Linked DNA regions of Neodiprion lecontei. The protein of the gene in region 1 interacts with the protein of each later gene in a pairwise test. Links are inferred from orthologs where the notes say so. Each region holds a gene or a part of one and is shown in the gene's direction. Other genes may lie near its edges. The genes, in order: cyclin-dependent kinase 1 and G2/mitotic-specific cyclin-B3.

Evidence for each region.
Region 2: the proteins of cyclin-dependent kinase 1 (region 1) and G2/mitotic-specific cyclin-B3 interact in binary tests that used the Drosophila melanogaster proteins (3 or more experiments, as listed by UniProt). The link is inferred for Neodiprion lecontei from reciprocal best matches to the Drosophila melanogaster genes Cdk1 and CycB3.

What each region holds. Positions count from the first base shown.
Region 1 is NC_060262.1:35,222,672-35,228,082, forward strand, and holds cyclin-dependent kinase 1, read left to right. Parts: upstream 1-1,883; 5' UTR 1,884-2,081; coding exon 2,082-2,139; intron 2,140-2,905; coding exon 2,906-3,201; intron 3,202-3,302; coding exon 3,303-3,622; intron 3,623-3,822; coding exon 3,823-4,066; 3' UTR 4,067-4,869; downstream 4,870-5,411. UniProt on the Drosophila melanogaster protein: Plays a key role in the control of the eukaryotic cell cycle. Required for entry into S-phase and mitosis.
Region 2 is NC_060261.1:33,960,002-33,967,007, forward strand, and holds G2/mitotic-specific cyclin-B3, read left to right. Parts: upstream 1-2,057; 5' UTR 2,058-2,157; intron 2,158-2,384; exon of another isoform or gene 2,385-2,564; intron 2,565-3,487; 5' UTR 3,488-3,532; coding exon 3,533-3,742; intron 3,743-3,869; coding exon 3,870-4,196; intron 4,197-4,522; coding exon 4,523-4,744; intron 4,745-4,881; coding exon 4,882-5,112; intron 5,113-5,195; coding exon 5,196-5,351; intron 5,352-5,482; coding exon 5,483-5,763; intron 5,764-5,878; coding exon 5,879-5,930; 3' UTR 5,931-6,419; downstream 6,420-7,006. Other genes in the region: peroxisome biogenesis factor 1, read right to left, coding at 1-966, 1,174-1,288, 1,393-1,608, 1,897-1,989. UniProt on the Drosophila melanogaster protein: Cyclins are positive regulatory subunits of the cyclin-dependent kinases (CDKs), and thereby play an essential role in the control of the cell cycle, notably via their destruction during cell division.

The sequences.
Region 1 (5,411 bases):
ATAGTCAATTATAAACCAATTTTTGTCGAAAGTGACAAAGCGCTTCCTTTGTAAGTGTTTTTTCTTTTTGATGTTCCTTTTTTTTTTTCCATTTTGACGAAATATATCTTGATACAAGAAGTCCTATTCTACGATGTTACGAAAAATATTTTGTAAGTACGACTTATACCTACATTGTACAGTAATACTAAAATGCAGTGGCTGTAGAAAAGAAACTACAATTATTTCACGCATGAATTTTTCCAACTTAGATTAAGTTTAAAATTAATTCATTCTCTGCAAGCCGGCTGACTTACGTATACATGGTATGGGATGAATCATGCTTAAAATTTTGCTAGTGTGAAATTCTATACTTGGGATCTTGTAAATAAAATTCTATATTCAGAAAGAAGTAAAGGCGAATAAGAAAAAGTGATACAAATTTTCGACACATTTTAAACTAGAACGATTTTTCAACTTTTTTTCAAGCAAATTTCGAACTAATAGGTAATTTTTACACTCCTGCCATTTCTTGTAAGTTCCATACTGGGGAAGGTTCAAGATTCAAGAGTGCTGGATTCAATTACTTCAGTGGCAAGCACATGGTGCAGTCACTTAGTGTTTTCAGTGACTTATTGTTTGATGAGACAAGCTGCAATGCAGTACAGAACAAGTCTCAGTTCCTCATTTCATGTGTTTCAAAAAATTCTTCATAGTTCTACAATGTAGCAATATGCACTGCCTCACCTCTCCAATTAATTCTATCGCCTCTGGCATTTGACTACGTGTAATAGCAAGACCAGTTGTTGCTGTATCAGTTTCATCTTTTCGGAATGAAATATTCACGAAAGAACACTTGTGAATAGTCTAAGGCTTTCTCATTTTTCCCAATTTCACAGCTTCACTTACAATTAAATGCATATCGGACCTCCCAGATTTGCAAGGAAATTCATGAAGTTACATTTTACATTTTTCTTCTCCTGAGCAGCAACAATGCTCCAAACTTTTGGAAAGAACAAGATGTATAATCGCAATTGCGTGATTACTGGGAAAATGTAGGGAAATTGATGCTCGCAAGATGTTAGGATTCACATATCAGTAGCGTGAGCGAGAATTGGCTGCAATTGCTGGTGTTTTCGTTATCTTCCCAAATCATTCCCAATGACAACACGACCGTAATTGCAAACTGTACCATTTCCCAAAGGACAAAATGGCTTCATTGCCCAGGAGAGAGAAAAACTTGTAAAACACGATTAGCTCACAAGACCGTTTACTGTGATGTTGAAAATTTCTTTTAAATTGCAATATGAATATGACAATGGACACTTTTTGCTGTGTTTACATGATAATGTAAAGCCAGTAATTGTTACGGAATTTAAAAAAATATGAGGAAATCAAAAGTTTCATTCCAGTTTGTAAAAATCACAGAAAATTGGATTGTCTAAAACACGATGTTTATCGAATCTAACCTGGTTGAGGACCGTTGACAATTATTTTTGCGCGCCGATCTTGTCGTGTGTGGTTGTATGGAATGCAAAATCAATTGCGCGCGTTAGGTTCACGAGTATTGGGAAGTAAACTAGTGTAAACGTACGTTTCACTCGTTTCTATACTCTCCGTGGATAGCACTAAGCGCTGACAGATGTTACGTGTCCGTACGAAGTAAAAGGGAACGGGATGGCACGGCCTGCTGCCGCATTCGTGCCATTCGTACCCATGCACATATACATGATTTATTTTCCTAACTTTGTATGTGTCGGTCAGCTTACCCTGGTTACACGGAAGCAAACGTGCGGGCTTACCAAGCAGGAATCATTTTACGTTCTTTTTTACTCTGAGAGAATGTCCCGCGCTCCGCCAATGCGCCGGCGCAGGAAGCAGCTGTCACATGAGACACGCGTTCCAATTGGCTAATACCACCGTATAACTTTACCGATAATCTTGTTTACACGTGTTTACCAATATGGCGACGACTCCGTTGCCGCATTTGAATTCGGACGTTACTTTTTGTTTGCAGGCGTGTTAAATCTCGAAAATACAGTAGCGATTAGGCAATTTTACAAAGCATTTCACGGTTCAGAGTGCCCGCGTCAACTGCGTGAATGATTGATCAAAAAATTAGCATGGAAAACTTTGTGAAAATCGAAAAAATCGGCGAAGGTGATACGATTTGTTGTGCATCATTCCAAGTGTAGCTGAAACTTGACGAAACTTTACCATATTATGGTTTACCCTTATTTTACTTTCAATTATCTGTCCTTGTTACTCGCAAGTCAACCGTTTCTAAGTCAGAAAAGCATTCAAAACCCATTTCATATTGTTTGATTCGAGGTCCTCTTCCCAGTTATGAATTTTGTTCCAGTTACTAAACACTTTGAAATGCTACTATTCAATCAATTATTTATGCTGTGTAATTTTACATAGCATGTGACGCGCTTTTGGCACGTAGTTTGCTTTTGTGTATGCTTTTGATTTAAAGTTGCACGAAAACCGGTATTTTTCATTCATCATGCTTAAAGATAGGAGCAACACCCTGCTTTCTTGAAATACAGTTTAAATGGAATCGTGTAGTTTATATTTCGTTTGTAAATCTGCACCCGCTGTTCTGAAATACTGTTATTAATACTGCTGTTTACATGAATAACGATGAAGTTAGTAATGTTACTATAACAATGCATGTTTCAGAGAAATCGTTACTTCGCACCTTTAAGATCATTTGAAATTTGGTAAACCAAGATATACAAAACATATTTACATATATTTCGAGAACCAAATTCCTTGAAAGTAATTCGGAAATTGTAGAGTGATAATTTTTCTCCTGGTGTTTTGTTACATTAACGTTACTAACTTCAGCCCCTTTTACATAAAGCCTAGAATTAACGTTAGAATCATTTCAGAAAAAGATTATATCAATTTAAATTATCAGGAACCTATGGTGTTGTCTACAAAGGAAAAAATAAGAAAACCGGACAAATTGTGGCAATGAAAAAAATTCGACTAGAAAGCGACGATGAGGGAGTTCCTTCGACTGCAATCCGAGAAATATCTTTGCTAAAGGAGCTACAGCATCCCAACATTGTTAGTCTGGAAGATGTTTTGATGGAAGAATCACGACTTTATTTAATATTTGAATTCTTATCGATGGATTTGAAAAAATATATGGATACTTTAGGCAATGGAAGATTGATGGAACCTGAAGTTGTCAAATCCTACTTGTATCAGGTCTGTATTTTTTTTTTTATACATTCCTTGCGTCGAGCGTAATAAATGAGAACTAACATGTGAAATGTAACTTGCACTGTTCCGTGTTCTCTTCTCATCAGATAACTCAAGCAATCCTGTTCTGTCATCAAAGACGTGTATTGCACCGTGACTTGAAGCCCCAGAATCTTCTTATTGACAAAAATGGAGTAATCAAGGTGGCAGACTTTGGATTGGGTCGAGCATTTGGTATTCCTGTGAGAGTGTATACCCACGAGGTGGTAACTCTCTGGTATAGGGCTCCTGAAGTTCTCTTAGGATCAACGAGGTATTCCTGCCCGATCGATCTTTGGAGCATTGGCTGTATCTTCGCTGAAATGGCCACAAAAAAGCCCCTCTTCCAAGGCGACAGCGAGATAGACCAGCTCTTTAGGATATTTCGGTAAAACAATCACATACCTAGGAAGCCGATTGAACATTGATTTTATACTGTGATTTAGTAGCCTTTTACTCTGAATGAAACACATGCCTTATGTTGGCAACCAGAGTTAGGAACAAAATAATAAAATCGGTTTTGCCTTTTTGGATCATTTCAAGGTGGATCATACGTTGCGACTATACTTTTTTCGGTAATTTCCCTAGAGTACTGCGAACCCCGACTGAGGAGATATGGCCAGGCGTGACACAGCTTCCTGACTACAAAGCGACATTCCCGAACTGGACATCCAACAATCTGGCATCCCAAGTCAAAGTGATAGATGAAGAAGGTCTTGATCTTTTGCAAGCGATGCTGGTGTATGATCCTGTGTATAGAATATCTGCAAGAGCAGCTCTGCAACACCCCTATTTTAACGACTTGGACAAGTCGAAATTACCGTCAAAGTGAACAGTGGTGAAACAACGAAATTATATACTTTACTTCATAGTTTGCAAGTTTCTCACATTACGCCGGCGTTTAAGCAGGTTCCGCATGATCAGATGGTTCCTATTTAATTATCTTCAAATCTCACATAATTTCAGCTGCATGCTGAGTCTATAATACCACTTAAAGTTTAATTCAATCATCGCAGTTCTTTTTTTTGTTTTCGTTTTTGTTTTTGTTTATATGATTTTAATTTTGTCTTTTTAACCGTAACATTTTTAGTTTTCGCATGACAAGATGAAGAATGAAACGAAACCAGACATAGTGTGTACCTGAATAAAGTTCTCCGTTGGTTACAAATACCAATCGTTCTATGTGTAGGAACCATCTAGAGAGCGCTATTAAGTACTATACTATTACGTATTCCATAACCAGTAAGATATCTAAGTTTTTAGTATTATATCTTCTGTCATTCACTGAGTTGGTCTAATTTTAAAGATAATTATATTTTAGATGAACAAGTTAAATGAAGTAGAGAATAAAAATGTCGAAAAACTATGAACGAAACGGAATGAAAGGAAAACACTTTGTGGTATCAAGATTTCGATGTTCCATTCAATAATATTTATAAATGTAAGATAATTTTATTGAATGGAACTAAAGCAGACGTAGATCTTGAGACTACAAATATGTACATAAGTTGGGAAGAGTAAAAAAAAAAACGAAGTAGAAGACCGAACTAAGTGGTCAAAATTAGTATTCATTCGAAATAAGAATATTTTTGTACTTTCTTTACGACGAGAATATAAAATAAGGATCAAAATTAACTTCGCGTTTTAATGATATTTGTATATCCCGAATCAGCTGCAAATTACGCCATTCGGATGCCAATTAACAACCAAGTATAAATTTCCTGCTTGCTTTCTAAGATTCTATATCGCAAACCTACGCACAAATTACGGTGTTTGAAAGATATGTATGAAAAATGAGGTAATTTAACGCAAATTCAGTTAGTGATTTGCTCATCCAATGACTATTTAATTGGAAAGAGTTTTTTTCAACTGTTAAATAATTTGTGAATAACTGAGTGGAAGTTGTGGACTACATGAAAAGCGTGCAAACGTCAGGTAATAATTGAAAAAAAGAAAAAAAATAACACATAACATTATTGTAATTATCAGTTGATCAAACCCAAACTAACAATTTGATCAGGATTGATTATGTTCACTTGAAAATTTATTTTTCCGAAAGCTTATTCGGTGCGTATGTGACAACGTTTTACGGGAAACACAAGCGATTGTCAACCGTGGACTGAGAAAGAAATTAGCTTAGCCATATGAGCGACTCAATGCTTCTGCGAAATATTCTA
Region 2 (7,006 bases), on another chromosome or scaffold:
GCATTGAGATAGTTTGCAAGCATACACTCTCTGGATGCTGTAAGCTTTCCATCTCGTTTTCCACACTAAATACGACATCCTTTACATGTACAGGAGTAGTTTTCAAATCATACAAATCTATCAAAGCATAGGAAGTTGGGAGTGGGCAGAATTGAACAATGCAAGACTTATCATTCCTCAAACTCAGCACGGATAATGAATTAATAAGCACTTTATCATATATCGATTGTTCTTTGAGGAAATTTTCAAAATCTTCCAAAGTAACTGGATTGTTTTGTGGAAATAATTCTATAGCCGTAACAGGCTGCACTGAGTATTCAATCAATTCTAATGTGACTTTAGCACCCACTTTTAACTTGAGATTATGCCTGAGATTTTCCGACACGTAGACGCTTTTATAAAGCAAATTATTGGCAAAATATTCTCTGTCAATACAGTATGAACACTTTTTCAAAACCTCTTCCAGTACAAATATTTTGGCGACTACTTCTGTTATTAAATTAAGTCCTGCAGTATTGTTAGTTCGCAAATAATTCGTGTTAGTTGCTTTAACGAATTGCGTATTCTGCCTCACTTTCTTAACTCGGCAATAAATCTCTCCAGAATGGAAATTCTTTGGTAAAAAACGTTGATTAATAAAAATATTGTACGGCTGTCTCAATAAGGAATCTACAGTGCTCATGGCCTCTGTGTCTTCTATCCTTTTTACAGGTAGGACCCGGAAAGTCTGAATGATATTCTTCTTTGAATATTTTCCCACTATATTCTCAACAGATTCTTCAATATTTGCCTCTTTTTTCTTATCTGTGTCAGAAAACAAATTCGGCACCACATTTTTAAACGTATCCCAAAGACTATCAGATGAATTTTCTTTTTTATCCTCTTTTACTTCCTTTTTCGGAAATGATACTGTTATCTCTGTGAACGGTTGAAGCTTTCCATACCTGTACCTAGGTTCCACAGACTCTGAAGAGAAAAAGTGAGCCTTAAAAGTGAAAAATTACTTTTTTCTTAGTCCTTGTGTAAGAGTTTTTGAAATGAATTGGTATTTCGATAAAGGGAAACTTTGGATCTTAGGAATTATGATCAAGATCCCTGTTGGCGACAGATTGACCATTTTAAACTCACTATCGGCTTGTGGGTAAACATTTGTGTATTATTAAATATACTCACCAACATGTAATTCAACAGACAGGAACTTTGATATCCAAACAACAATTTGCTGGTCCACCGCGACAATGTTGATCTGGTTTAGTAATGACTCTTGTATTTTGTTGCTCTGCAATTCCTGTAAAACCAAATCTATGTAACAGATAACCAAATAAATAAAAAATAAGTTTATACATTCATCATTAAGGTTTAAAATTCTATATAAAATAATGAAAAACTCACCACAATTTCCCAGTCTTCGGAGCTTTTTGGCATGACAGTGACGTTAGATACAGCAGATGGATGAGCTTCAGACGATGCAAGAACATTATCTCCTTCTTGAATGCCCAAGGCTCTTGCAAAGGTTGCACTGAGCCTTAAGGATTGATCTGGACTCGGCTGAGAGTGCCAAGAGAAATAAAAGTCGCGATCATGATGCGTGATCCTGATGGCATTAGGCTGTAATTCAATCAACAATACTCATGTAGATTCATTTGAATAGGCCCGATTTTGGTTCAGGGCTGACATTATTGACTTATGTCGCCATCTATGGAAAATTGAGTTAATGTATTGTGAACGACTGCAGTTAGATACTCGAAGAGGGTAAGAAGATATACGTCCAGTTACATAATGAATGGAATTTACAGTTACAGAAAACAGTAAATGCGCATATTGATAAGATATCAAAACAAAATGGACGCGTAATAACAATCAGTCAGGTTTGAACAACTATGAATTGGATCATACCTTTGTCGCAAGCTGTCGTTGCCAAGTAGCTGGTAAATAAACGAAGCAATTTTGGACGGTGATATATTTAACTGTGAATCGTTCAGCCTGCATTTTTTCCGCACGTATTGATGAAAATAATGACGTCTTTCAACGTCGAATAGCCGCGGCCGTGGTGGACCTTGCTTACAAACAAAATACGATCGTATCGTTGGCACCCGAGACGCAAGGTCACCGCGGCTACTTGTTGCGCGACAAGCAACGCTTCTTCATTCGCCGCCGGTAATGCAAATAGTTCTGAAAATGAATAATTACGTAATTCATATGTACGTTGACGGTTTTCTCCACCTCAAAATGAATTAGAAAGATTTCGGGTCTTCGTTTTAATCGGTCAACAGACGTACCAAGACGTACTGAGAAGTAAAACGGTCATGCTCGGCAGCCATTTGGTCAAGTGATTGCTAGTTGCATGGGTCGTCGCTAGGGGCCGTGACCGTGGAAAAATCATTGAACCAATCGTATGTCGCGAAATCTCTAACTGTGATATTTTGAACCAGCGTCAACTTCAGTTGCTCTTGAGTCAAGACGAGCGGAAAGTAGTAAAGTAACGTACCAGTTGTTGACGGATTTTTGTTAAATGAAAAAAATTACACGACCCAGGCACAAGGAATTGAATAATAAATATTAAGGTAAAAGTCTCGTGGCTTCTCTTGATCCTTGTAACGAATATATGTGAAGAAATGTGGAGAAATAATTCCCCAAATTATATCTTTCGCTTTTAAGGTCACGATAAAAATGGTGGATCCTTTGGCCAAATTGTAGATCATATCCTTATTAGCATTTCATGTTTTTCACTTATTTTATCACCCGTGCTTCATCCCATCGAGTCCTTATGAAGATTGCCTTGATAATTACACAATTATATCGAAATATTCGCGGTAAATAAATTCTCTGGCATTTTGGGCGATGCCAACGACCAACGGGACGTTCGTTCGTTACCCTCGAAAAATTTTGAAATTCCTTTGATTTCTGACTCGAATGTACCGTGATCTCTAGTCCAAAATGTCGCTAGATAATCACTTCACCTTACATCATCCGTACCTAAAATTCTTACAAAAAATATGACAAAGTCTATTACAATGTAACTAGAGGAGTTGTCTTACGCTTAATTTTGACTTATTCCAAAGAAAATATCGCATTATTTTATAAAATAAAAACGCTACTGTTTACTTTCACTAAAGCTAATCGTCAAGTTTAAGAATACTGTCAAATCTGCATGCAAACAGTTCAATTCTAGTGCATAAGAATCAGTTCTTCGCATTTACTTGTTAACGTTAAAATTCATTTACTTTTGAGGTTATAGCGTCGCGTAATCACGTGACAAGTCAATACATCCGAAATACTTCTTTCAACTGATAGAAAAAAAGATCACAAACTTGACAAACTAGTATGAAAAAAAACCTCGTAACAAAAACTTACGTAATGGTTACTAAAACAGAGAAACTTAAATGCTATGTATTGTACATAGTGTAATATAATGAGAAATTTCCCTTCATGTACGGCAAAAAATAGGTTTACCATTTGGTGTTTGATTTAAATAATTCGTTTGCAGAACTTTGTGGGGAACTGTTGACTGTCCCTTTACGTATTACTGAAAATGGCTCCAACCAAAGTGTTAAATGGCCAAAACAAACAGAATACCACTGGCATAGTAATACGTAAAGGAATCACAACTAGAAGTCACAATTCAATAGCTAACACTAAGCACCTGACAGTTGCAAAAGACCCAAGGATCAAACGCAAAGCAGATGCCTCTCCCTTGAAAGAAAAGACAACAAAAAGATCAGCATTAGGAAATATCACCAATGTAAGTCAGAAAAGCAATGATTCCAAACAGTCGAATAAAGTATCAGTACCAAACTAGACAACTAAACTTAATTAAAACTAAATAATCAATAAACTGATGAATAAAACGCATTTGTCGACATTTACAGGCCATCGGCAAGTCCTTAGGCGCACAAGTCCATGATGTTAAAAAGATCACAAAGAAAGCAGCGACCCAAAACAAGCCATCCACGACTTCCCTACAGTCCCTAGGAAAGATTTTAGCTAAGCCAGACAATGTTGTGCCAATCAAGCCGAAACCACCTGCACGTGTACCTGCCAAAAAAAAGGAAGATGATAAAGTAGAAGTCCCAGCTAAAATAGCAAATGCAAGGCGCAGTTTAGATCTGGAAAAGTCTGAAGATAGTTCGCTGTATGTGAGTGCTTTAGAAGACGCTGACGAGAGTTTGAAAAAATCAACACAGAGTAATTCTAGGGTAAATAAAAAAATCTGTTGGATAGAAAGTAATTTTAAAATCAAAAAATTTGTTACATGTGTGAGAAGAAGCGATTTCGAACAATTCGAGTACACAATAATGGTTCTCACTTAAGTATTGCAGAATTTATTCGCCAACAAATTTTACTGGAAAGATTTAGCTCTGTAGAAGGAAGGATGATGGTTAAGATAGAAAGCTGCAATTTCAAAATGAGCTGGAAATTGTTTTACATTGATTTGAAGAATAGCTGCAGAAAAATTCATTCATATTCTAATTAAAGACCACCCTGATATGTAATCTCTAGCATTATCTTCTCTCCATAAAAGGTTGATGCCAAAGATGGTACTGCAAAAGAGCCGGAAGAGAAGGTGCAGGCTTCACCTGATCCAAAAATACCTACTCTTTCGATTGCAACTCGCCTAGATGCTCCGCCTACTAACAAATTACCCACTGGTGTACAGTGGGATTTTGATGCTGAAAATTGGACTGATCCTTACCAAGTTTCTTATTATGCAATGGACACGTTTAATTACCTCAAAAGCCGGGAGGTAAATGTTTAATTGTTCTACTTTTGACTAACCTCAAGTGTAAATTAAATTCAGATGAAACAGTTTGCGGAATGTTCAATTCATTATTTATGTATTTTAGCTTAGCATAAACAGGTTATCTGTTCTATTTCTATTAGCCATTGTTCCTGATTGGCGATTATATGGAAAGACAAGTTTGTTTATCTCGATGGATGAGATCTTTACTTGTCGATTGGATGGTTGAGGTCCAAGAATCCTTTGAATTAAACCACGAGACTTTGTATCTAGCTGTTAAATTAGTAGACTTGTACCTCACTAAAGTGACGGTTGGAAAAGAAACGCTCCAACTTTTAGGTGCAGCAAGTTTATTCATCGCAAGCAAATTTGACGTGAGTCTTATGATATTTCCTACTGAAAACACAGTTCGGAAACCAATTATTAGTTCTAGTTACTCAAATTTCACTATCAACAGGAAAGAATTCCGCCTATGGTCGACGACTTTTTGTACATCTGTGATGGTGCATACACGCGTCGGGAACTAACTAGGATGGAAATTAACGTTTTGAAAATTATCGACTTCGACCTAGGCATTCCACTTTCTTACAGGTTCCTCAGAAGATACGCCAGGGTTTGTACTTACGCACTATTATAACATGTAAGAATGAAAAACTGATTTGAAGGACTATTAGAACCTGATTTTCAACTTACGAGTAATTCAAAAATGATGAATTGTTAATTCACTATTGGTTTAATGAACAGTGTGCCAAAGTTTCTATGCCAACTCTAACCCTGGCTCGTTACATCTTGGAGTATTCGTTAATGGATTACGCAACAATAATGTACAGCGATAGTAAAATGGCAGCCGCTGCTCTATTCATTGCTTTGCAAATGAAGGATCTAGGTGGCTGGAATGCAACCTTAGAATACTATACGGGACTCAAACTTGAGGAGATTAAAGAAATCGTGCTGGCGCTAAATCAGGGATTACACCGGAAACCTAAAGAAGCATTAGCAACAGTTCGCAACAAATACAGTCATAAGTAAATCGAATTAATATAATCTGCCTAACGTTACCAGCTCATTGCCTAATAAACTTTTAATCTCTACAATAACTAATCGAACAATGTGCTAACAATGCCGCTTTTTTTCTTTCAGAATATTTTTCGAAGTCGCAAAAGTGCCACTGAAAGAAGTATTAGATATATAGTTAGACTTGTAAGTACCGTATTATTAGTAGTTAGATACGGGGCTTGACTGGTTTTTTTTAAATAAAATAAACCTAACTGAAATACCAACCTTACAATTTTGGTTAGGATTCCAAAAGTTTTTCAAACCTGAACATTAAAAATCTAACTGTACCCCGTTTAAAGCAAGAGAAAAGAATTGAAACCGAAAAACTTTAAGTATTACTACCTAGCTACGACCTTTTTTCTTCCAATTTTTTTTTTCGTATATTTTACATTTTAACTCTAGAAATATTTGACGCAGAAACTTGAAACTAGTTTTTACAATTTATATGCACATTTTTATCAAAGTAGAAGCCGAGTTTGTACCAATGTACACTAAGTATTACCCTTTTATTCCTAAACTATTTGTACATGACTAATATTTCAATGATACTCTACAGTCTCAGAATTTATGAATTATTTTAGTTTTTTTTTTTTTTGTCCCTCTTGTTTCAAAAATTTCTTTTAGCGCCACACGCTTTTACTCAGAACTAATGACTCATTTCTGACGGTTAGAATAATTTTTTTCACTTTAATATCGGTCTTATTACGCTATCATATATATTCCGATTAATTTTATATTTTTTTCTACATTTATATTTTAATATATTAGATAAATGATAATTATTATTAATAAGAATAATAAAGGTAGCGTTATCGTTCGCAGCGCATCTAAATAGTAAAGTTAGAATTATCGGAACAAGGTTGAAAATGCAGAAAATTTTCATGTGTGGCGCATTGTTATGGAATTTCGTTCCAGTGGTATGATGGTGAGACTGACAGACTGATGCGATGGTAAAAATGATACCACCAGGGTAGAAGGTAAATTTTGAAGAATTTTACGGAAATTAGCTCTAATCCTCTTGTGCCTTGTGCTTATTGGATTGCTCGGGGCGTAATGAAATTCGACCACAAAAAAGAGTTGAATAAACAAAATATAACCAATCCATTACTATTTGTTTCTTTGTCAAACCATAAATGTTTGCCAGCTCTCAGTCGGTTCTTCGAATGTCTTTGCAATCTGTGATAAGAATCCCAATATTACGTAAAATAATTC